Sus scrofa: one gene and its partners. The protein of the gene in region 1 purifies or fractionates together with the protein of each later gene. This does not show direct contact. Links are inferred from orthologs where the notes say so. Each region holds a gene or a part of one and is shown in the gene's direction. Other genes may lie near its edges.

Region 1 (3,958 bases):
GGGGTGCTGCGGGTCTTGGTGCGGTGGCACATTCAGGCCAGGCCCCGGCCTTGCTGCCCCGGAGGCTCACGGTCACAGCTCTGGCCTGGCCGCCTTCCTGGGCAGCCCCGTCCCACAGGCCCCGCTGTGTGGATGGGCCCCTTTGCTCTTGGCCTCCGGGCCTCGTGTCCGCGAGCTTAGCGGGAGAGCTTGGCTCCGTGCCGGCTGCCTCTCCCATGTCCTCCGCCGCCTTCGAGGGCACCTTGTCATTCTGCCGGGAGAGGAGCCGTCTGCGGCGGCTGAGGGAGGAAGGAGCTCCGTCTGCTCCCCAGGACTTGCCCGACCGGTGCCCCCACCACCAGTGACCTTCACAGGGCCCCTCGTGCCCCGTGGCCAGGGTGACGGAGGGATTCAGTGACCCTGGGTGGCGTAGACCTGCTGGATCGTCATCCGCTTGCTCCCTGGGAGGGTTGAGACACCGCCCAGATGAAGAATGAGTAACGGGTTATGTTGACTGTTCTCAGTTTTTACTAACCTCAAACCAAGTTCTCGTGCATTACTAGGTTGGAGAAACGTATGGTAAGGATAGACCCTCCAGGGGCAAAGACAAGCGCTTGCCGTATGTAAAACTTTCAATCGACTTCAGTTTCCAGCTTGATCTGTTCTCTCGTTTCACTTAGTTTTCCTAGGATTTCCCGTCGAGCCTCCCGGTCCTTGAGTGTTTGACCTCTGATTCACTCAAGGTTGAGGTCGGCTCGATGAAACGTGCTTTCACTGGAGCCCATGGTCGACCTGCTGGCCTGAATCAGAGCCGTTCCCAAGCTGCTTTCTCCCCTCCTCTCAGGGCACGGGGGCTTTGGTGGAAGGGGCCCTCTCCAGGCTGCTGGGGAGACGCGAGGCTTCACCCTGGCGCCCCGGCCACGGGCTTGGCGGGAGCGGGACTAACCACCCTGGCGGCCCTTCCCCCGCTTCGGTGTTGGGTGCGGGCCTGTCCGGCGGGCGGGCTGTGCGCTGCTGAGCTCACCGGCCCCGCTTGGAGGCGTGATCAGCCCAGGGCCAGAGGCCGTGGTGGTTCCTGGGCAACCTTGTGCATGCGCTCAAATTTCATGTCATTTACAAAACGCTGTCGTGTGGGAGGTCGCTCCCTTCCAGGTACAGGGTGTCAGCTGAGGATTGAAAGTGTGTGCACTTCACAAAGGAGTGTCATTGCCCTTTTCCAGGAAAATAGTTCATAAACCTAGCATTTTAGAAACTTTGGCTTATTTTTTTTTTTTAAAAAGGATGTGTAAACGTTTAAATCTCACCTTTTGCACAATAAAGTGCATGTTCTCCAGAGGCCCTGCTTGGGCCTGAGAAGCCCTGACAGCCGGCGAGACGCCGCTTTCACACGAGGCCGTCCTCCCTCCCGAGGGCCAGCGGGTGAGCGAGGACCTGAGACCCACCTTGGGCCCAGGGCCCTGACGGCCGGTCCTTCCTAAAAGCAGTGTAGTTGGAGCCGCGTGAGCCCCTAGAAGTGTTTGGACCTAATGTTCTGATGGGGACGTAATGAGAAACGTAGCGTTGTAGATGATGTTTTTGAAATGGATTCTACTTTTGAGGAACCGAGACCAGGTTTTAAAGAAATGCAGGCGTAGCACCTTGACACAGGATTTTGTCCCCAGGCAGGAACAGCATTAAGCTCCCAGGCAGAGCTGGAGTGATGGAAAGAGGCCTGTCTGTCTGTGGCCTCCAGTAACAGAGCGTGTCTTGTGCTCCACTCCCAGTCTCACCAGTAACTTGTGCTTCACGTGCTGGTTCTGGTCTGGGAGCGTCTCGACCAGAGAGGGTGCAGGGAGCCGGCTCGCGCCTCAGCTGCTGGTGCGCAGGACGAGCCGGGGCTTCTGGCGCTTTCCCCGCAGCATTTAGGAAGCAAAGTGACTTCGCCACGCCAAGACCATTCTCTAAACGCCTCCCTGTGTTTCTTTTTACAGGACGTATTCTTAATTTGCTTTTCTCTTGTGAGCCCTGCATCTTTTGAAAATGTTCGCGCAAAGGTAAGTGGGATATTTTATTTTTATTTTTTATTTTTTCGTCTTTTTGTTTTTTCTAAGGCTGCACCCTTGGCATATGGAGGGTTCCCAGGCTAGGGGTCCAATTGGAGCTGTAGCCTCTGGCCTACACCACAGCCACAGCAATGCGGGAACCGAGCCGCATCTGCAGCCTCCACCACAGCTCACGGTAACGCCGTATCATTAACCCGCTGAGCAAGGCCAGGATGGAACCCGCAACCTCATGGTTCCTAGTCGGATTCGTTTCCACTGCGCCACGACGGGAACTCCAGCAAGGTGACTTTAGTATGCAGAGTTCTCAAGTTTCAGGGCCGATGCAGAAGTGCTGGGTTCCTTGTTAAAATAACGAGGCAGTTGGGAGCCAGGTGAATAAAAATGACGGACTGGCGGCACCGGTGGGCTTGGTGGAGATGACGGCGGTGGGTCAGGGATGCGTCTGGCGGGGAGGAGACGGTAGAGCTGAGTCCTGAGTCCTGCTAGTTTGGTTCTCATCCTCGAATGTGTGAGGGGTTTTGAAATGACCTAAGAACTTGACCAGAAACCAAAAACAGAGTGGCGGGCGGGGGGCTGCCTCGCCGGTCCCACGGTGCAGTGGTTGGTGGTTCTGGAGGGGAGCCTGGCCGAGGGCAGCGTGCTGTCCCCTGCAGGAAGGCTCCGTGGCGACGCAGGGACTCGGGATTGACACAGCTTGGCACCGGTGTGGCCGTAATCGGCGGGAGGGCGGCTCCCACCAGAGTCGTGACTTTGCTCCTGTCCCCGCGCCTAGTGGTACCCAGAAGTGCGACACCATTGTCCCAACACGCCCATCATCCTGGTGGGGACGAAGCTTGATCTCAGGGATGATAAAGACACGATCGAGAAACTGAAGGAGAAGAAGCTGACTCCCATCACCTACCCGCAGGGCTTGGCCATGGCGAAGGAGATCGGTAGGAAACCCCGCGGCGCCAGGTCTGCTTGGCCCGCCAGAGGCCGGAGTCCCGCCCGGGGAGGTGGACCCGGGTCTGGCCGCCCCTGCAGAGACCCGGCTGAGCCGGGGGGTGGGATGGGGGGGCGAGGCCGAGGCTGAGAGGCCGTGTTCCGTCCGGCAGGTGCTGTGAAATACCTGGAGTGCTCGGCGCTCACGCAGCGGGGCCTCAAGACAGTGTTCGACGAAGCCATCCGAGCGGTTCTCTGCCCGCCCCCCGTCAAGAAGAGGAAGAGGAAGTGCCTGCTGTTGTAAACGCCTGGGGCCCGGGGCGGGGGCCCGTCCCGCCCCGAACCTTTGTCTGCTTTGCTCAAATGTGGAGCCTTCGCACTCAATGCCAAGTTTTTGTTACAGATTAGTTTTTCCATAAAACCGTTTTGAACCAATCAGTAATTTCTAGGTTTTTCTCTGTTTAAAGTGTAAGAGTTTAAACTTTCACATTCTATTAAAGTTTAGCCCTAAAATGACAAGCTTTCCTAAAGCCTTATTTTTCAGAAGCCCCTGTTCTTGCTCAGATGAAGAGTTGCCAAAATCCCTTGTGAGCCAAGTTGCGTTGTTGGGCTGAGAACACTAAGCACTAAGCTGTTGACAGAGACCTCTCTCCCTGCGAGACCGTCCCTTCCGAGGCCGGCGGCTTTCCACCGTGAAGGGCGGGCGTAGCGCCTCCTTCGCGAAACGTCGCCACGGAGCGCACCCTCGTCTATCCGCCCGTGCCCATGACCTGACGTTGTACTGTGCGTCCTGGCGAGGAGGTGACAGCGCAGCTCTCTGCATCAAGCTCTGATTGCGTAGTGAGGGTTTCTTTAAGCGATGAGTGTACTAGCTTTCGTGAGCCTTGAACTGAACTCCTGCTCACGTGTTCCCTCCGGCGAGGTGTTCTGGCCGTGGGTGCGCGGGGTGGAGCGTGGGGAGCGCCTGTGATCGAAGGATGAAGACAGTATTTTGACAAGATACGGAGGTTAATTTA
Region 2 (3,258 bases), on another chromosome or scaffold:
CTCAACAGAATTTTAGCAGTTGGTAATAAAACTTTTAGATGTACAAAGATAGAGGGAGTATCTGAAAGAAAACACTGATACAGCACATTTCTTTACCATCTTTGTGTATCTTTTTAAAAATTTTATTGGAGTGTAGTTGGCTTACAAAGTTGTGTTAGCTTTAGGTGTACAGAAAAGTAAATCAGTTATGTGTATACATATCCATTCCTTTTCTGATTCTTTTGCCTTATAGGTTATTACAAAATATTGAGTAGATTAGCCTGTGCTATAGAATTGGTCCTTGTTACCGATTTTATATGGAGTAATGTGTATATGTCAATCCCAACCTCCCTTTTTATCCCTCCCCCCCAGCGTTTCCCCTATGGCAACTATAAGTTTGTTTTTGGTTTGTTTTTTTTTTTTTTGCTTTTTAGGGCGGCACCTGTGGCATGTAAGTTCTCAGGCTAGGGGATGAATCAGAGGTACAGCTGCCAGCCTACACCACAGCTACAGCCACTGCCACAGCCACCTAGGATCCGAGCCATGTCTGCAGCCTACACCACAGCTCATGGTAGCGATGGTTCCCCAACCCACTTAGCGAGGCCAGGGATCAAACCCGCAGCCTCACGGATACTAGTTGGATTCGTTTCTGCTACACCACACTGGGAACTCCCATAAATTTGTTTTTGAAATCTTTATGTCTGTTTTGTAAACTCTTTTATATCATGTTTATTAGATTCCACATATTAGTGATCTCATATGATACTTTTATTTCAGTTAGTATGATAATTCCTAGATTACCTTTTCTTTATATATCCCTCTTACCCAGAGTTATGGGGGCCGTGACTGTAAAGAAGTTATCTTTGGGATGCAGATGTGTATTTAAGTTGTGCTTCATTGTACACGGTACTTTGTATCAGGGAGAGGTGCTGTCAAGAGGCCCCCGTTCAGAAAGTGACATTCAATTTAATGGAGTCCTCTTTCATTCCTGAACCTATTGTAAATTCTGGGGAACTTTGGGTTTATAATGTGAATAACTAGTCTAGTCATTACTACTTAAAACAGAAAGCCTTTTAAGTATATAAACTTTAGAGAGGAGAATACCCTATTTATTAATTCTGTTTCTTCTGATAGGAGGGGGTCCGCATGGAAGAAATAGTTGAAGGTTGTACTGGAGCCCTTCATATCCTAGCTCGGGATGTTCACAACCGAATTGTTATCAGAGGACTAAATACCATTCCATTGTTTGTGCAGGTATGTTGGTTTTAAGTGAGACATTCTAGGTTTTATATGTCAATCAAATTTCAGGATTTTAAAGATAAACAAAATTTCATGAAATTAGGGACCAAAATAGGGGCACCAGCATTTAATTTTTCATTTACTAAAATGGCAATACTGTCCATGAATCTCAATGTATAATGTCTTTTTAGTTGAATATATTTAATTTTACAAAAATTCCCTTTATTCGTCTTGGGCAGTAGAAGGAGAATCACTGAATGTCAAGAAGAGGGAGGAGATAACTCTCTGCTTTGAGAGGTGCTCAGTTTTGAAGGAGTGAAAGCTGATCTGGCTGCTAGAGCACAGGCCTCCAACCACCTCTGGAGTTTCCAAATCGTAGCTTAAATAAAATTGTCTCTTAAGAAAAGGTTTGCTGCTAAAAACACTCCAGAAAACCAGTCCTCCAGAGCATCAAACATTCAAGAACATATATTTAGAGTATATGATTTAATGTAAGTAGTACAAATACTGCCTGCAGTCTGAATTGGGAATGTTTGCACCACAGTGGGGTGCCTGCCTTGTTTCTACTTTAGGTTTCTACTTTTGGTAGTCTTTTTTCTCTTATATTCTTTTCAATTATGGTTTATCATAGACCACTGAATATAGTTCTCTGTGCTATACAGTAGAATCTTGTTCAACTTTATATTTAATTAGGGGTTTGTGTGTGTGTGTGTGTTTTCTCCTTAGCTGCTTTATTCTCCCATCGAAAATATCCAAAGAGTAGCTGCAGGGGTCCTCTGTGAACTTGCTCAGGACAAGGAGGCTGCAGAAGCTATTGAAGCTGAGGGAGCCACAGCACCTCTGACAGAATTACTCCACTCTAGGAATGAAGGTGTGGGTAAGTAGGAAAGGAACCAAAGCCTTTGGCTGGTGTGTATGGTGAAGCCTCAGCTTTTCCTCAAAGACCTTTTTTCCCATCCTCTCCCAGCAACATACGCAGCTGCTGTTTTGTTCCGAATGTCTGAGGACAAGCCCCAGGATTATAAGAAACGGCTTTCGGTTGAGCTGACCAGTTCTCTTTTCAGAACAGAGCCAATGGCTTGGAATGAGGTAGGCACATTTATTTGGGTGTTTGTCAGAGCGGGTAAGGCAGTTTGTGGTTTCTTCTCTACTCAGTCCACATTCATTTGCATTGACTGCATCCTTGGCTTAAATATTCCTTCTTTTACACTACCTTATCAACTGCTGTGAGGGAAAATTAACAGCTTTAAACAGCCTGTTCAGAACAAACCAGCTACACAGTTTAACAGTAGAATTTGTAAGGGAGATAGATGAAAAAGTTACCAGATTAAAAAACATTTTTCAGGAGTTCCTGTTATGGCTCAGTGGTTAACGAATCTGACTAGGAACCATGAGTTGCGGGTTCAATCCCTGGCCTTGCTCAGTGGGTTAAGGATCCAGCATTGCCGTGAGCTGTGGTGTAGGTCGCAGATGCGGCTCGGATCTGGCGTTGCTGTGACTCTGGCGTAGGCTGGCAGCTATAGCTCCGATTGGACCCCTAGCCTGGGAACCTCCATATGCCACAGGAGCGGCCCTAGGAAAGACACACAGATGCACACACACAAAAGAACATTTTTCAAAAGGCTGTTAGGAAAGAAGTAATCATTAAACACTGTTAGGTGGAGGTCACTTTATCAATACTTCTTAAAAAATGCTCAACTTTTCACCTATTTTCTACTCAAATTTCTATTAATTTATTCAGTATTTGTCCTCAGTACAGACTTGTTCACTGAAACATTAGAACCATCCTGAAGGTTTATTCAACTATGGTATATAGGCATAAAGTGAATTATATTTGTTGAATGAATATAGAGAGACCCTACATATGTTGTTAGGTGGGAAAAAAATAAACTGCCAAACTGTAGTATGTTAGTTGGTTTTTTAATAGGCAATCCTAACATGTTCCAACTTGAGCCCTAAACTTCTCACCTACTCCCTTTCTCCAGACCTGTTCCTGTAACAGTTAATGGCAGCTTCATTCTTCTAGCTGCTCAAGCTCTA
Region 3 (3,500 bases), on another chromosome or scaffold:
GAAGGGAACCCCAAGTGATCATGAGGCTATATTATTGAGTGTAAATGGTGGAAACTATAAAACTCTTCAGTCCATAAAGTCAAAAATAAGAAAACTTCAAACCAGTAAAGCACTTTCTTGTCTTCTCCTTTCATAAAATTTAGTTACTAATTATTTTTGGAAAAGCAGACTATTGAAAACATTGACAAGGTTGGCCTCATCTAGATCATCATTCAGCCAGCCCTCCTTTCTGGTGCTCAGGGCAAGGTGAGGGTGCTGGAGGGGAACCCACAAAGCTCACAGCCCAGCTCCCTAGACCTGGAGAACTAGATCAAGGATTTACAATTAGGATTCAGAAAAGATTGTCCTAGGACTAATAAAGGGAAGTGCACAGTGAACTGTAAACTTCTGTCCTGGTACCCTAGGAAATGGAAAGAGCCTTTACATGTATTTAATTAAATTTGTAAGTGGCAGGAGTTCCTATCGTGGCTTAGTGGTTAAAGAACCTGACTGGTATCCATGAGGACGTGGGTCCAATCTCTGGCCTCACTCAGTGGGTTAAGGATCCAGCGTTGCCATGAGCTGTAGTGTCGGTCACAGATGTGGCTCAGATCCCGCGTTGCTGTGGCTGTGGCGTAGGCTGATGGCTACAGCTCCGATGGGACCCTTAGCCTGAGAACCTCCATATGCCATGTTGTAGCCCTTAAAAAAGACAAAAAAGGGAGTTCCCATCGTGGCTCAGTGGTTAACGAATCCGACTAGGAACCATGAGGTTTTGGGTTCGATCCCTGGCCTTGCTCAGTGGGTTAAGGATCCGGCATTGCTGTGAGCTGTGGTATAGGTTGCAGACGAGGCTCGGATCCCACATTGCTGTGGCTGTGGTGCAGGCCGGTGGCTACAGCTCCGATTAGACCCCTAACCTGGGATCCTCCATATGCCGCAGGTGCAGCCCTAGAAAAGGCAAAAAGACAAAAAAAAAAAAAAAAAAAAAAATAGGTGGCCCATTCATAATAGGAATAATAATACAGTCTAGCATGTTTGACTAGCACTGTGCCATTACTTTCACAGACAGTAATTTCACTTGATCTTCATAAAAATCTCATGAGATAGGGCAGGAATGAACATTCCCATTTTTCTGGACCAGAAAACAAACTTATAACGGGAACGAAATAGCCTAAGCTGACATCTCTGATTAGTGATAGAGTCAGGACTAGATGCCTCTACTCCAGTTTGTTACTGTCCTCGGCCCCTGCCTCTAGCCCAGACCAGGCCTCTCACAGATGCTCTGTGAAAACAGACAAGATTGGCCACCTCAGGGCCTCCCAGACTGTCCTGGGATGGGGTTCTGGCTGTGGGTATCAGACACCTAAGGTGCGGGCTAAAGGTGCTGCCTTCTGTGGGAAAGGATGGGATGGATATTAGGATCTGGGGTGTTCCCCAGGGGAGACTAAAGGGGGCCAAAGAAGAGGCTCCCAGGCCAGGTTGGAGGCCGAGTGAGAGTTTAATGGGTAACAGGGCCCTGTTCCTAGGTATTGACATAAGGGCAAGAGCGAGAGACAAGGCCCAGAGGTGTTTGGAGGAAGGCAGCAAGGAGCAGGCTGTGGATATTGGGGGGGGGGGAGGTGCTTGAGTTCAGCTCTGGTGCTGCTCAGCCCAGAGAAGAAGCAGGCCCTCAGGTGTGGATGGGCAGGGCCACGGTGCTCCTACCGCTTTGCCCCCAGGTATGGGATGCGCTATGTGGCCAAGGTCCTGAAGACAACTCTGGCAGAGAAGTTCCCTGACGCCACAGAGAGTGAGGTCTATAAGGCAAGTGTTGTCTTCCATCCCCCACCTCTCAAGCTCACCTTTGCCCTGATGGTGCCGGTGAACCCGCATTCTGAGACCAAAGGATAGAATACCCCATGCTGGAGTTCTCGCTGTGGCTCAGTGGCTAACAAATCCAACTAGGAACCATGAGGTTGCAGGTTCAATCCCTGGCCGTGCTTAATGGGTTAAGGATCCGGCATTGCCGTGAGCTGTGGTGTAGATCACAGACTCGACTTGGATCTGGCATTGCTGTGGCTGTGGTGTAGGCCGGCAGCTGCAGCTCCGAGTAGACCCCTAGCCTGGGAACCTCCATATGCCGCCAGTGTGGCCCCAGAAAAGACAAAAAGACAAAAAAAGAAAAGAGAGAGAGAGAAAGAAAACCCCATGCTGTAAAAATCCAAGAAGGAAAATTCTCCATCCTGTCATTTAAGCCTGGCTCACCAGCCGGGTTCAGATGGCAGCTGGAAAGGCATCCGGGGTGTGAGTTAACAGTAGACCAACCTGCACTTGGCAGATCTGGGTTCTACTCCCAGCTGTGGCTCAAGTTCAGGGTGTGACCTTGAGCAAGTTGCTGGCCTACTCTGGCTTTGTTTTCTCTTCTATACAATGATGGGGTTGACCTAGGCAGTCCTTCCAGCCAAGTGAGCTGGAAGAGTGGGGCTGGGGCCGTGGAGGCAGAACCCAGGCACTTCTAGGATCTCCTCTGCCCTCAGGTGGTAGGGAACCTCCTGTACTACCGCTTCCTGAACCCGGCTGTAGTGGCCCCTGATGCCTTCGACATTGTGGCCATGGCAGCAGGTGGCGCCCTGGCCACCCCGCAGCGCCACGCCCTGGGGGCTGTGGCTCAACTCCTGCAGCATGCTGCGGCGGGCAAGGCCTTCTCCGGGGAGAGCCAGCACCTGCGGGTCTTGAATGACTATCTGGAGGAGACGCACCTCAAGTTCAGGTCTTGGGTCCTGGCATCCTATCCCTCCCTGTCCGTCTTTTCTCCTTCTCCCATCTTCTTTCATGTACCACTTTGGCTTACATCCACAAGGAAGAGAGGCATAGAGGTGAAGGGTATAGTTAGTGAGCTGGAGGACAGCTGGTTGGAAAAACTCCCCAGTGGAGAAAAAAGAGGACTATTGAAGGAAGGCTGCTTGAAGGGGACACTGGGAGAGAAGGAAGGGCTGGACAGAGGGGCCGGAGCCCAGACTGGAGAGTCAGGTGGCTTGAGCATCAGTGGACAGGGCCGGAGGAAGGGCTGCTGTATGCGTGGGGGGTGCTGGCCCGCCCCCCTCTCTCACATGCTCTTCCTCTGGAGACAGGAGGTTCATCTGCCGAGCCTGCCAGGTGCCAGAGCCAGAAGAGCGCTTTGCGATGGATGAGTACTCGGACATGGTAGCCGTGGCCAAACCCGTGGTGTACATCACCGTGGGGGAGCTGGTCAACACACACAGGGTGAGGCGCCGCAAGCTGGGGGTGCTGTGTAAGTGGGCGGGGCTTTGGAAGTCCACGAGAGGGTGGGGGGCCCGGCCCTGGAAGGAAGGCCTGGCTCTGACTCTGCATCTCTTTTTCTCCCCTCATCCTGTAGCTGTTGCTGGAACACCAGGACTGGATCGCCCCCGATCACCGTGACCCCCTGCACGAGCTCCTGGAGGACCTCGGGGAGCTGCCCACCATCCCTGACCTCATCGGTGAGTGCCCTCCTGACAGCTGGGCCCAGCGGTAGGGGC
Region 4 (3,193 bases), on another chromosome or scaffold:
TTTTGACATTTCCTCTACCCAGAACCCTCTTGTCCCACTGCTTCTGTCTGCCAGGGCCTTCTCCCTCTCCTAGTTTACTCCTGTGCATCCTTTAGGACCCAGTTTAGGTATAATTTTTTTCTGGGAAGCCTTCCCTTTATGTGTGTGTGCACACACTCCCTTACTGTGTTCTTCATAACACATTGTATAATTACCTTTCTCATCACACTGTATTATAATTTCCTATCTACATGTGTTCCTTACTTGGCTATGAATGATTGGGAGCCTAAGGGTCTATATATTTGTTAATTGTTCTATCTCTAATGCCTAGTAAGTACTTGTTGAATAAAGTTAGACCACTGTTTTCCAAACTTGTTTTCAGAATAATTTCCCCCAGGATGTTAGAAGAGATGCCATGAAAAATGAGCTTTGTAGTTAAATAAGGAAATGCGTTATGAATTTCTAAGAGGGGATGTACATTTTATTACACTGCCCTGAACTTGATAGCCGTGGTGCCCAAATACCAGTGTGCTCAACCCCAGAAATTTTAGATTCTGTGAATGGGGCCCAGGAATCTATTGTTCTAAAAAAATGCCCCAAGTGATTCTCATTTGAGGCTTAATTTGGAAACCACTGGTATGCAATGATTACAAAGATTGTTAAAATATGTAATACATTGGGAATAGTTCCTAGTACATATTAACTGCTGCTGTTGTTGATGTTGTAATTATAGTTATGTATGGCTGTGAAACACATTTTTATGGCATATTTGTTAACATTTTACAAAACTTAGTTTGAGAAAGGCTGAATTAAGCAAATACTTTGGTGCCACCTGTAATCAACTTTATTTCCTCTTTCTTCCTCATCCCTCACATCCAGTCAGCCACCAAATCCTGCTTATCCCATTTCAGAAGTGGCCCTAAAGTCTACACATAAGGAGTTCCTGAGCCCAGGGATCAGATCCAAGCCACAGCTGTGACCTATGCCACAGCTGCAGCATTGCTGGATCCTTTAACCCCCTGTGCCAGGCTGGGGATTGCACCTGCGTCCTGGCTCTGCAGAGATGCTGCAGCAGGAATTCATGCTGCCCATTTTTAAATGCCACTCTTCTTTCCCCCCCACCCCCACCCAATCGCCACCAACCTGTGAAGCCTTCCCCACCTAGTCTGGACAGAAGAACTTATTCTCTCATCTTGTCCCAGAGCACTTTGTATGTAACTTTATTATGGCACTTATCACTTTTATGCTTACCTCCATAGCCTTAGCTCATGTCCTTCTCTCCCATTAGCATGCAAGCTAATAAAGAGCAGATGCCATATGTGAGTCATCCTATCTCTCAACACTTGATTAGTGCCTCACACATAGTAGGGGTTCATATTGTTTCAATGAATTTAAACAACTAAGCCTAAAATTTAGCACTTTTTTTTCTCTTTGTACAGAAATTAGTGCTGAAGAACAGCTGAGGCTCCTGCAAGAGGAGAAGCTTTGCAAAATCTGTATGGATAGAAATATTGCTGTGGTTTTTATTCCTTGTGGACATCTGGTCACTTGTAAACAGTGTGCTGAAGCAATTGACAAATGTCCGATGTGCAACACAGTCATTACTTTCAAGCAAAAAATTTTTATGTCTTAGTCTAACTACAGTAGGTGTGTTATGTTCTTATTACCCTGATTGAATGTATGATGTGAACCAACTTTCAGAAATCAGCATTGAATTTCATTAGCATTTGCTACCAAGTAGGAAAAAACATAAACTGCAGTGTTTACAGTTGGCAGTATAAAATTTGAATTTCTGGATTTTTCAGGATTTTAGCTATATTATTGTCCTATTTTTTCACTGTTATTTAATTGAAACCCTAGACTGAGAAGCATCATATTAAAACTGACTGCAGTGTGTATCTGTGGTACACTGACTTAGTTTTCTAAATGTTAGTGAATTAATCAACTGAATTTTTCATTCTTTTCAGATAGGCTTAACAAATGGAGCATTCTGTGAAAACATGGAGATTAATATCCCCAATCACATAATTTGTTTTGTGTGAAAAAGGAATGAACTGTTCCACACTGGTAGAAAGATAGAGATTATTTTTAGATGTTTCTGTTTTAGTAGTCTGTCCATTTTGTTTTAAAATTATAGTCATGTACTTGGGTGAATGATTTTAAAAAATAATTTTGCCATTGTTAAAAGGGTATTTAATGATAGAATACCATTTAGCCTACATGTACTGACATGGAAAGATATCAAAGGTGTATTAAGTGTAAAATCCAAGTGGCAAAACACTATGTATAGAATGAGCCAAATGAAGGTATGTGTGTTTTGTATACATAGAGAAAAGATTTGGAAAGATAGGCACCAAATGTGGTTTCTTTTGAGGGGGGTGTGGGCATGGGTCCCAGAGGGGCTGTACAGGGGCCTTTCACTTTCTACTCTTTTCATTTTGTTCTGTTTGAATTTTGTATAAGTATGTATTACTTTTGTAATCAGAATTTTTAGAAAGTATTTTACTGATTTAAAGGCTTAGGCATGTTCAAACGCCTGCAAAACTACTTACTGCTCAGCTTTAGTTTTTTTAATCCAAGAAGGCAGGGCAGTTAACCTTTTTGGTGCCAATGTGAAATTTAAGTGTTTATATGTTTTTCCTGCTTTGTGGATGAAAAATATTTCTGAGTGGTAGTTTTCTGACAGGTAGACCATGTCTTCTCTTGTTTCAAAATAAATATTCCTGATTTTGTAAAATGAAATATAAAATATGTCTCAGATCTTCCAATTAATTAGTAAGGATTCATCCTTAATCCTTGCTAGTTTAAGCCTGCCTAAGTCACTTTACTAAAAGATCTTTGTTAACCCAGTATTTTAAACATCTGTCAGCTTATGTAGGTAAAAATAGAAGCATGTTTGTACACTGCTTGTAGTTATAGTGACAGCTTTCCATGTTGAGATTCTCATATCATCTTGTATCTTAAAGTTTTATGTGAGTTTTTACCATTAGGATGATTAAGATGTATATAGGAAAAAATGTCAAGTCTTTACCTAAATTTTTTTTTATTTCTTGTCTAGTAATAGTAATAGATACCTCTGAAATAAATGTTCTTTGAGATCCATAAAAACCTCTTGGAAATTATAAAATATTGACAGGAAAAAATAGTTATTTTAATATTGAAGAGAAAATAAAACTTGAGTAAGAATCAATACAGATTTAAAAAATTAAAGTTT
Region 5 (3,500 bases), on another chromosome or scaffold:
GGCATTATTTTGTTCTTTCGTATGGCTGGGTAGTATTCCATTGTGTATATATTCCACATAATCCATTCATCTGTCAGTGGACATTTAGGTTGTTTCCATGTCTTGGCTATTGTGAATAGTGCTGCAGTGAACATGCGGGTGCATGTGTCTTTTTCAAGGAAAGTTTTGTCTGGATATATACCCAAGAGTGGGAATGCTGGGTCATATAGTAGTTCTACATTTAGTTTTCTGAGGCACTTCCATACTGTTTTCCATAGTGGTTGTACCAATTTACATTCCCACCAACAGTGTGGGAGGATACCCTTTTCTCCACACCCTCTCCAGCATTTGTTATTTGTTGCCTTGTTAATGATGGCCATTCTGATAGGTGTAAGGTGGTACCTCATAGTAGTTTTGTTTTGCATTTTTCTAATAATTTGTGATATCAAGCATTTTTTCATGTGCCTCTTGGCCATCTGTATATTTCCTTTGAAGAAATGTGTATTCTGGTCTTTTGCCCATTTTTCAATTGGGTTGTTGGGGTTTTTTTTGCTGTGCAGTTGTATAAGTTGTTTGTATATTTTAGAGATTAAGACCTTGTCAGTTGCATCATTGAAACTATTTTCTCCCATTCCATAGGTTGTCCTTTTTTTTTTTTGGTTTCCTTTGCTGTGCAAAAGCTTGTCAGTCTGATTAGATCCCATTGGTTTATTTTTGCTTTTATTTCTGTTGCCTTGGGAGACTGACCTAAGAAAACGTTTGTACTGTTGATGTCAGAGAATGTTTTGCCTATTTATTCTATATTTCTTGTAACAAAATTGTAATAGATTCTATAAAGGCTCTGTAAACTATATAGAAATTAAATTTGCTTTTTCTGATTTAGATAATCAACTGTAACCAATCTTGAAAGAAATACTTTTAATTTTTCTCCCTTAGAAAACATAAGTCCAGAAGAAGAATATAAAATTGCCTGCCTCCTCATGGTCTTTGTGGCAGTTTCTTTGCCAACACTGGCCAGTAATGTGATGTCTCAGTATAGCCCTGCTATAGAAGGTAATAGTGGTTTAAAATTGTATTGGCACTGGAAAAGTTCAAGTTTTGATATAGTAGCTACTTTTCAATTAATTGATTTTTTTATGTAATAAAATGTGGGTTAAAGTTCTGCCACTTACTAACTGTATAACCTTGAATAGTCGAATTTTCTTTTTCTAAGCCCCAGTTCCATAATCACATACGAAATGTGTATGTGAACCTGTGGGTGCCTGTGTGTGGCAGTGAATGGTGAGGGAGTTTCTAACCCAGGATTGTGTTAAGGATTGATTGAGGAAATGCTCATAAAGCAGCCAAGCATTTATTTTTTAAATTTCTAAAACAATGTAAAATTTAGAAATGATTTCTTTTAGGGGTCTTTGAAAATGTGCCTCTTCAATACAAATAAAAAAATTTCTTGCTCTTTTGCTACACTATTTTTCAAAGCAGTAATTCTTTGAAAAATGAAAGAAAAGCAAGGCAGGTTATGCCAACTCTGTATTTAATCATGCCACTATTCATATAGATTACGGAGTCATTAAAGATTACTTTTTGTGTTTTTGATATTTTGGAGTCACACAGAAACCAAAACCCTATTTGCACTTTCTCAGGGCACTGCAACAACATACATTGCTTGGCCAAAGCCATCAACCAGATTGCCGCAGCTTTGTTTACAATTCACAAAGGAAGCATTGAAGATCGGCTTAAAGAATTTCTGGCGGTATGTATAATCAAGTAGCAAAACTAATGATGCTTTTTAAAGAAAATTAAAAATCGTAACTATGAGATTATAACAAAGTAAATTTTATTTATTTACTTATTCATTTTTGAAAAAGGAGCAGATGAAGGCAGGGCATAAAATCAAGGAGCAGTTAATTTAGTATTTTTTCCTTTTGACTTAGAAGTTTCTCATTTCTAGAGCTCTGCAGTATGACCTTTTTTCCTAAACTGGTGTTTGGACTATCCTAGAATTTTGCCTAGGATTTGAAAGAGAAAAAAACAAAACGAAGGAAAATTGAGGCAAAGGGTGAATGTTCCCACTAACAGGATATATTTTACTAATTTCCATTTATGTGGAGAAAGACTGTTAATGGTCCCAAACTCAAAAGGAAGACTACTACTCACTATCCAGAGAGGGTAGTAGTGCCAACTGTTGCCTCATGAATATGGCTCTTAGTTTCTGTGGAAGGGTAGCTCTTTCCTTTATCACTGTACTTTTTCTATGTATTACTTAAGAGAAAGTTGCACTGTGATATAAAGCACACTATAATATTTGCTTCTTTTCAAGTTATAAATGCTGTTAGCTTTTTAAATTTTTAAAATTTTGAAAGCAAATGTAGTACTCACTTAGGACAAAATAACATCTATTTCAAAGGGAACAGTATTAAGAGTTAAATTTTTTCTTTTCATTTTTTTTCTTTTATTCAAAATTTAGTGTCCTAATCTCCCTATGGTCCCATTAACTCACACTCAATTTGAAAATTTCTTATTTGAGAATTAAGAAATATAGTTCATACAGATATTGGGAAGAGAAAAATCAATTTAAAATCATTTTTTTAAAAAAAGGTTTGTTCTAAAAAAATGAATTTTAGAGACCAATAAGAATATTGAATTACATTTATTATCTTGTGTCTGTTTATACCGTAATAGCTCTTAAATTTTGCTTGAATGTGAAGAACCTAAGCTCACCTTGTTATTTAATTGCTCATTATCTTAAATGTAGCCACTGAATGGTTAAAATGTCTTACAAGCACAGTGAAAATAGACAAGTAACTTTTGAACATTTTACTTTATTTTAAAAACTTATTTATTTAAAATGTATGTATACTTTTAAGCTTGCGTCCTCCAGTCTACTGAAAATTGGCCAGGAGACAGATAAAACAACAACAAGAAATAGAGAATCTGTTTATTTACTGCTAGATATGGTAAGTCTTATTTTAATTTTTGTTAACAACAACGAAGTTCCAGTCATTCCTGATAATCTTTTCTTGGTATTTTAGTTATTAAATAACATTAAGAGCTTTTATGTGTGTCCATTGCCCTAAGGTGAGTCTCTTGTATACAGCAGATTATAGGCTCTTGCTTTTTTATCCAGTCTGCCACTCTGTGTCTTTTAATTGGAGCATTCAGTCCATTGACATTTAAGGTAATTATTGATAAATATGTATTTATTGGCATTTGAAACCTTGTTTTCCACTTGATTCTGTGTTTCTCCTTTGTTCCTTCCTTTCTTTGGTTGGATGATTTCCTTGTATTTTATGCTTGTGTCCTTTTCTTTTTAGTTTTTGTGAATGTAACGTTTGAAATTGATCTGTGGTTGCCCTGTTTTTCAAGTATGTTAACCCCTTCCTTTATCTGCTTGCTTTAGCCTGGTAGTCATATAGGCTCAAACACGTTTTAAAAAAAAAGTTAGATTTTCTTACTGTCCTTCCCTACATTCTGTGATTTTAAAGTCCTTTTATAAGATCTCCATATTTGTCCTTTTGCTGTTC
Region 6 (4,017 bases), on another chromosome or scaffold:
CAGATGTGGCCTAGAAAAAAAACAAAACAAACAAACAAACAAAAATTAAGTAGCCTGAAAAAGAACTCAAAACAATAGCAAATAAAACATCACATTTAAGCAGGCTAGTCTGAATCCACACTCTTTAGCACCCTCTATGGTTCATGCAGTACCTGCTCTGTGGAGACCTTCAGAAATGGTTGCTAACACCCTCCACCTCCTCATCGGTTATTGTTTTTATTATACAATCCATTTCTACTCTTCCAAAAAGCCTTCCCCAACCAGCCAACATCAATTCTGCACTGCCCATTAAGTTCATTTATGCCTCACTCTTCTGACCTCTTGTGGGCTTTCTACTCCCACCCACTGCCTGCAAGCAAGCCCGTGCAAGCCCCAATCTCCAGCATGGTATGCACCTTCAGGGCATTTACTCTTCCATCTAGTAGTAGATCAGTGGGGCTGGGCTGGTTCCTTACCAGCCCAAAGGAGACCTTTCAAAAGCATCTTGGGGGATGTACAACACAGAGAATATAACCAATATTTATAACTATTAATGGAGTACATACAACCTACCTGAAACAGAATATTCTGTACCAACCATACCTCAATTAAACACAAACAAGGAGTTCCCTCTGTGGCTCAGCAGGTTAAGGACACGACGCTACCTCTGTGAGGAGGCAGGTTCAATCTCTGGGCTCACTCAGTGAGTTAAGGATCCAGTTTTGCCACAGGTGATGTAGGTAGCAGATGCAGCTCGGATCCCTGTTGCCCTGGCTGTGGAACAGGCCTCAGCTGTAGGTCCAATTGGACCCCCCCCCCTCGCCTGGGAACTTCAATGTGCCACAGGTGCGACCATTAAAAAAAAAAAAAATCTAAAAAACAACCAGCCATCCACGGGAAAGAGATGTCCAATGCTGGGCAGAGATGTCTCAGAGTCAAGAGCTGGAGAACGCAGGCCTCCACTCCAAAGAGACCTGTGAAGAACAGAAAGGGTGCCTGATGCATACGCGGCCGCAGAATGGAGAAACTTCAACTCGGACTGCGGCAGGTTAGCCGGCTTAATTCCAAATTTTAACGTTTACTTCAACTACCAGTTCACTTCAAACAAACAACTTTACTGTTCCAAGTCATACAGCCACTCAATGGCCTCTATTTTCTACCGAACTGCAACAGGAAGCTAAACTGACCTAACCACTCGGCCCGGGGCCGTTAAGTGCTTCCTGAGCTACCTGACCTTCTATCTGAGCCTGGGGCAGCTACAACCCTTCCGCTGCTTCCGCGTTCTCACAGCGAACTCAGGAAAACAGCTCCGCCCACACTAAACAGTGAACTCAGGGCCAAACAAGGGAGATATTCTGAAGGGCCGCGCACGTTTTGAGAGTCAGTGAAAAGTACTTTTTCCGGGATAAGAAACGCGCCCCAAACATACTGAGTCACCAACCGCCGCTTCGGGCCGGAAGCCACCGCACTAACACCGCCCCCCTTACGTAGTTAAGCGGAGTTTCCCGTGAGCCTCCGGGCGCGCGCGAGGACTACGATTCCCGGCATGCTCGGTGGCTGGCGAAATTAACCCTTCAGGGACTGCGGCTGCCCTTCGCCCCGCCTCCTCCTCTTACCTGGACCCCTCAGGGTGAGTTTTTGGGGCTTTGGGGAGGGACTCTTTCCTTTATTTAATATTTAGGGTGTGTGTATGTGAGTGTGTGTGTGTGTGGTGTGTGTGTGTGAGAGAGAGAGAGAGAGAGAGAGAGAGTGATGTGCTTATTTTCCTAAAATGAGGCAATTGGCAGTAATGAGATTCAGAGACTTTTTTGGAGTGGGAGACCCAGCATCAACTCTCTGAACCCCAGGACCTAAGTGGGATCACTCTTATCTTCCTCGGAATGCTGTTTAAATCGTCTCTTTCTTTAACCCCAGAACAAAACTAGCCAGTGACGCCCCCCCCCCCACCCCATATGCCCGGACTTCGACTCTACCCCAGCGCTCCCAGCAAGGTTTGTAATCTGGCAACCTAGTCTGGAGGTTTTATTATCCCTCTGGTTGGGAATGAGTACTCATGGAGGCCAAAGGGCCTCCCACGTCCTTTTGGATTAGAGATTTTAGAAATTAAGCCCTTTGCCTCTCAGAGCCTGCCCTTCCCCCCAGGTGCAAGGAGCCCCTGCAGGTTCAGACACCCTACTTGTGTCTGACCTGAATGACCATAGGTTTGTGGACAAGTGTTCCTTCCTTGGGAGTATGGATGGTGGGTGTTAAACTGTCCTTGCCCGCATCCCCGCTCCTTAAACGTTTAACACTGGGTACAGGAACAATCGGAGGGGGAGGTCACACTCTTCTCTTACTATTCTGTCTCTATTTTGTACACAGTTCCAGTTCTGGGCTGGCAGGAAGAGGGTTAGAGAATTACAGTATTCAGGATTATGAAGCTGTGGGATCCACTATCCCTGCTTCTCATCCATGGTCAGAGAGGAGCAGAGAGTCTGCTTGTTTTTTTCACCTTTCACTACTCCCAGACCCCACTTTAACAATCACAGTTCACAAGGCCCCCATCCCTGCTTCAGCCTTCAAGAGTCTAAAGCTGCTAGGAAAAAGGGCTCTTCTGAGTCAGAGGGTTGAGGGCATTGAATGCCTGGATCTCCTTCTTTGCCTCACCCCTATTTTACTGTTTGTCACTGGCAAGCATCCTATCCTCACCCCGGAGGTTAACTCCCCCATTCTGGGCAGTCTCTGGCTTCCTCCCCCTGCCCCCAAAGGGGCCATTGTTCTGGTCAGCATTTGGGGCCAGGTGGACAGAAGGGAGAAGACCTTGGGGCAGGAGTCCTGAACCATAGGAGGCCAGGGGAGTGAGGGCAGGCCAGCATATCTCTCCTCTATCTCACCCTCCCCATCGCCAACTGGCTCCCTGCCCCTGCCCCCGCCCCTTGACATCCCAGACTCCCTGGCTATTTAAACAGAGATGGGTGCCCCCATCGGCACACTGTCCTTTGGCCACCGGACATCATGCCTCCCAAGAAGGATGTTCCCGTTCCCGTGAAGAAACCAGTGGGGCCCCCTAACCCCAAGCCTGCTGCGCCTGCTGCCAAGCCAGCAGCAGGGGCCCCTCCAGCCAAGCCACCACCAGCGTCAGCGTCAGCGCCAGCACCAGCACCAGCACCAGCACCAGCTGTCCCTTCAGCCTCTGCGAAGATCCAGGAGCCCCCCGTCGATCTCTCCAAAGTGGTGGTGAGTCCCTGGAAAGTGAGAAAAGAATTTGGAGGGAGTGGTAAAGGGTGGGATTCAGCCTAGAGGACTAGGGGGTATCTAGAAGGTAGGGAATCAGTAAGCACTGGATGATAGCGGGGGTTTCCCTTCGTCCCCTATTTGGAAGGATTCAGGGTCATGACTCTGCTATTGTCTTTGTTGAGCTCTTCCTCTAATCTATAACACGTTCTGTGTACGTATATACACACACATTCTCACTGACCCTCCTGCTGGAGGCAGGGACTGTGAGATGGGGAACATCTGGGTTCTGAGGACAGTTTCAAGGTGAAGGGAGGGAGCTGCTGCCGGCCCCTGGCTGACTGTTCAACACGAAAGGCCACAGCTCTGAACCCCAGGAAGGAAGGCTGAAGAGGACAGACTTGTTAGACAATCACAGCTGGGGGCCAGGGGTAAATTTAGCCTTTGTTCAGCCCCCAGTTATGTGAGGGATGCAGGGCTCAGGGCAGTAGAGGGAGGGGAACAGGTGGCATGGGATTAACCCTGTTCCCAGGAAACCCTCCCCCCAATAATTCCTCCTCTTGGGATTCTCCCAAGGTCTGGAGCTGGGAATGGGACTGAGGTGGCTGGGCTCCCAGCCTGGTCCCTTTGGGCCCCTCCCCAGAAGTGGTTGCCAGTTGGTCGGGAGGAGTGCTGGAGAGAGATTGAATAAGCCCTGTCATCCCTCCTCACCTGCTCTTTTCTTCCACAGATCGAGTTTAACAAGGACCAGCTGGAGGGTGAGGAGAAGCTGGTCCCCTGAGCCCACTGTCCATCCCAAGCCCCTGGTCAGATCCTCTTTCTATT
Region 7 (2,973 bases), on another chromosome or scaffold:
GGTGGCTCGGTTCCCACAAACAGGTCTTGAGCCCCAGCAGGTGCCAGGCTCTGCACTGGATGCCGGGCACAGGGCTGACTAGACACACGTGGTCCCAGCCTCACTGCAGGGAAGGTGGGTGGTGGGAGGAGACTGACTCCAGCCCTACCTGGGTTTCAGATCCGGAAGGGGGTGTCGGCCTCAGCTGTGCCCTTCACTCCCTCCTCCCCACTGCTGTCATGCTCCCAGGAAGGAAGCCGCCACACGGTAACGCTCATCCCCAGGGCCCGAGGGCTGGGCTGGCTGAGAGGTGTGCTGGGGAGGCAACGGGCAGCCTGTGGGGACCTGCGAACATGCACCCCACCTGCCGCCCCTTCCCTGTCCCCTCCAGAGCAAGCTTTCTCGCCATGGCAGCGGCGCCGACAGTGACTATGAGAACACACAGAGTGGGGACCCGCTGCTGGGGTGAGGCACCCGGGGGCGGGGGTTGAGTGGCCCCCCGGTGTCTGCGAGGGCGAAGGCAAGCGACCTCACGGCCGGGCTGCCTGTCTCACCCCAGCCTGGAAGGGAAGAGGTTTCTAGAGCTGGGCAAGGAGGAGGACTTCCACCCCGAGCTGGAAAGCCTGGATGGAGACCTGGACCCTGGCCTTCCCAGCACAGAGGACGTCATCCTGAAGACGGAGCAGGTTACCAAGAACATTCAGGAGTTACTGCGGGCTGCCCAGGAATTCAAGCACGACAGGTACGGAGGTGGGCGGAGGCTCGTGCGGGCTTCTGGGGTGTTGCCGAGGGCCTGAGAGGGACCAGAGCTCCGCTCTCCCTGGACCCCTTCTCGAGAGCCCGCCTCCCTGATTTACCGTCTGCCCCCCACAGCTTTGTGCCCTGCTCAGAAAAGATCCATCTGGCTGTGACGGAGATGGCTTCTCTCTTCCCAAAGGTACAGGGGCCAGAGGGGAGCAGGACTGGGGGGCACCTCTGGGTGGGGCGGGGGTGGAGAAGCTGACTGCTACCTGGGTGGAGACGTGGCCACACTGCCAGTAGCGCTGGCTTGTGGGTGGGAGTCCGAGGCCTCGCTCCCTCTGCCCTCCCTCCAGAGGCCAGCCCTGGAGCCAGTGCGCAGCTCGCTGCGGCTGCTCAACGCCAGCGCCTACCGGCTGCAGAGCGAGTGCCGGAAGACTGTGCCCCCGGAGCCTGGCGCCCCTGTGGACTTCCAGCTGCTGACTCAGCAGGTGATCCAGTGCGCCTATGACATCGCCAAGGCTGCCAAGCAGCTGGTCACCATCACCACCCGAGAGAAGAAGCAGTGACCACTCTCCCTGCACCCTCACCCGCACCCCGGGACCTCACTGGCCATGGGAGCTGGGCCACTCCAGACACTAATCCCCACCCTAACAGAGCCGCTGGCACAAGTGCCCTTAGTGCTGCCACTCTCCCCTGGCAGCCAGGTGCCCTGGTGCCCATCCCCCTCGAGCCCCCAAGAATGGGGGGGTGAGGTGGCAGAAGCTTCTGTCCCCCACATTCCATGCACCTCTCCCTGTACATAGCATCCCCTCCCCTCTAGTGTGCAGGGGTCTACAAGGCGTCACTCCCAGCCCCTTGCCCCCTGGGGCACCCTCAGCAAAGGGTTGGGTGGGGACACTCCAAGTGGGGCGGTTCCCCTACATGCACCCCACCCCCATGAGCCAGTCCAGCCCTATTGGGGGCTGAGTGGGGGCATCCCCCTTGTACATAATACCTGTGGATGTCCCCATCCTGTAGCCACCAGCCCCCTGCTGCTCTCCTCTAATGCCAAACGGCCCCAGCCTAGGGCACAGGCCCCAAACCTGTGATCCCGGGGTCCCCAGCAGCAAAACACTGGAAAAATCTTTTTTTTTTTTTTCTTTCCTCTCTTCCACCCCTTAATTTTAACGTCGTGGTAACTGAGTGTCCCTGCGTGCCTGTGTGTGAGTGTGCGGGGCGGCAGTGCCGTTCCGGAGGCCTGGCTCGTCTGGAGTTGTGTGAGGGGTGAGGGGCCCAGAGCAGAAGGAAGGACCGGTGTTGGGGGTTGCCCCCCGCCCCCACCCTGGGGCCAGGGACTGCCGGGGTAACCAGCTGGGGTGTTGCCCTCTGCCTCTCCTCCTTGCTCCCCCACTCATACCCTTTCTCTATGAACTTAAAATGAAAACCACTTCTCTCCATCTCTCTTCCCCTCCCCTTGTGGAGGGGGAATGTGCTGGCTGGGGCAGAGAACTGAGCACCTGAGCCTGGGGCTGGCTCCCCGGGGTCCCCGACTCAGCTGAGAGCCCCCTCCCTGTAACCTCTGAGAGGCCAGCACCTGCAGTGTGTGGGTCCCTGCAGCCTGGGAAGGCTGAGAGGCAGATGGCAGTGCCCACCAGCTCCTCTCCCCATCCCACCTCTGTGCCAGGGGCCAGGCTCTACCTGTGTGGTGGTGGGTGGGCTGACTGTCAAGATGTGTGTCATGTACATTTGTATCAAAAATAAATAAGTGACCATGTGCTGTTTCTGATGCTTAGGGAATGGTGGGAGGGGAAGGGGAGGGGAGGGGGCAGACCTGAAATGGAGAAAGACCAACCTGGCAACAGTATGAAGCCACTGAAGACCAGCACTGCTCCAGGCCCTGCGCTTGAGAGGAGGGAAGCCCCAGAGTTTGCTGTCTCTTAGAGTCATCCTGGAAATAACAATGTTTCAGTAACTACCACCACCGACTCCCCGCCACCTGCTCACCCGTGGTGGTGGGAGGGGTTCTAGCAAGTGTCCAGGTCTGAGGCCAGGTTGGCAAGAGGAGGCAGGCCGGCAGGTGCCCACTTTGGTATCATAAAACCTCTACCTCAAACACGACCTAAATGGCCTAGGAGTGTCCTGGATGGGAGCGAGTCTGCGTGGCAGATGCACAAGCTCAACGCCAGGCTCTATTAAAATAATTTAATAAGGAAAACAGAGTTTTCACAACGGAGACTGAAAAGGCTCCTTCGCATTCCAACGCCCCCGCCCCCA

What was found.
Region 2: the proteins of RAC1 (region 1) and CTNNB1 purify together in Homo sapiens (affinity purification with western blotting; 4 studies listed by BioGRID, with this or other methods). This does not show direct contact. The link is inferred for Sus scrofa from reciprocal best matches to the Homo sapiens genes RAC1 and CTNNB1.
Region 3: the proteins of RAC1 (region 1) and IQGAP3 purify together in Homo sapiens (affinity purification with mass spectrometry; 3 studies listed by BioGRID and IntAct, with this or other methods). This does not show direct contact. The link is inferred for Sus scrofa from reciprocal best matches to the Homo sapiens genes RAC1 and IQGAP3.
Region 4: the proteins of RAC1 (region 1) and XIAP purify together in Homo sapiens (affinity purification with western blotting; 3 studies listed by BioGRID and IntAct, with this or other methods). This does not show direct contact. The link is inferred for Sus scrofa from reciprocal best matches to the Homo sapiens genes RAC1 and XIAP.
Region 5: the proteins of RAC1 (region 1) and NCKAP1 purify together in Homo sapiens (pull-down; 4 studies listed by BioGRID and IntAct, with this or other methods). This does not show direct contact. The link is inferred for Sus scrofa from reciprocal best matches to the Homo sapiens genes RAC1 and NCKAP1.
Region 6: the proteins of RAC1 (region 1) and MYL6B purify together in Homo sapiens (affinity purification with mass spectrometry; 3 studies listed by BioGRID and IntAct, with this or other methods). This does not show direct contact. The link is inferred for Sus scrofa from reciprocal best matches to the Homo sapiens genes RAC1 and MYL6B.
Region 7: the proteins of RAC1 (region 1) and GIT1 purify together in Homo sapiens (affinity purification with mass spectrometry; 3 studies listed by BioGRID). This does not show direct contact. The link is inferred for Sus scrofa from reciprocal best matches to the Homo sapiens genes RAC1 and GIT1.

Annotation. Positions count from the first base shown.
Region 1 is NC_010445.4:4,782,553-4,786,510, reverse strand, and holds the end of RAC1 (ras-related C3 botulinum toxin substrate 3), read left to right. Parts: intron 1-542; coding exon of another isoform or gene 543-602; intron 603-1,949; coding exon 1,950-2,012; intron 2,013-2,793; coding exon 2,794-2,953; intron 2,954-3,115; coding exon 3,116-3,246; 3' UTR 3,247-3,458; downstream 3,459-3,958. UniProt on the Homo sapiens protein: Plasma membrane-associated small GTPase which cycles between active GTP-bound and inactive GDP-bound states.
Region 2 is NC_010455.5:25,202,295-25,205,552, forward strand, and holds part of CTNNB1 (catenin beta-1), read left to right. Parts: intron 1-1,113; coding exon 1,114-1,233; intron 1,234-1,944; coding exon 1,945-2,095; intron 2,096-2,185; coding exon 2,186-2,307; intron 2,308-3,258. UniProt on the Homo sapiens protein: Key downstream component of the canonical Wnt signaling pathway.
Region 3 is NC_010446.5:93,546,733-93,550,232, forward strand, and holds part of IQGAP3 (ras GTPase-activating-like protein IQGAP3), read left to right. Parts: intron 1-1,700; coding exon 1,701-1,785; intron 1,786-2,498; coding exon 2,499-2,731; intron 2,732-3,092; coding exon 3,093-3,225; intron 3,226-3,358; coding exon 3,359-3,461; intron 3,462-3,500.
Region 4 is NC_010461.5:101,434,369-101,437,561, forward strand, and holds the end of XIAP (E3 ubiquitin-protein ligase XIAP), read left to right. Parts: intron 1-1,418; coding exon 1,419-1,612; 3' UTR 1,613-2,693; downstream 2,694-3,193.
Region 5 is NC_010457.5:88,430,750-88,434,249, reverse strand, and holds part of NCKAP1 (nck-associated protein 1), read left to right. Parts: intron 1-915; coding exon 916-1,032; intron 1,033-1,619; coding exon 1,620-1,729; intron 1,730-2,843; coding exon 2,844-2,933; intron 2,934-3,500. UniProt on the Homo sapiens protein: Part of the WAVE complex that regulates lamellipodia formation. The WAVE complex regulates actin filament reorganization via its interaction with the Arp2/3 complex. Actin remodeling activity is regulated by RAC1.
Region 6 is NC_010447.5:21,553,134-21,557,150, forward strand, and holds the start of MYL6B (myosin light chain 6B), read left to right. Parts: upstream 1-1,217; 5' UTR 1,218-1,609; intron 1,610-1,943; exon of another isoform or gene 1,944-1,970; intron 1,971-2,927; 5' UTR 2,928-2,973; coding exon 2,974-3,195; intron 3,196-3,922; coding exon 3,923-3,950; intron 3,951-4,017. UniProt on the Homo sapiens protein: Regulatory light chain of myosin. Does not bind calcium.
Region 7 is NC_010454.4:45,767,672-45,770,644, reverse strand, and holds the end of GIT1 (ARF GTPase-activating protein GIT1), read left to right. Parts: intron 1-159; coding exon 160-246; intron 247-370; coding exon 371-444; intron 445-538; coding exon 539-721; intron 722-852; coding exon 853-916; intron 917-1,073; coding exon 1,074-1,286; 3' UTR 1,287-2,473; downstream 2,474-2,973. UniProt on the Homo sapiens protein: GTPase-activating protein for ADP ribosylation factor family members, including ARF1.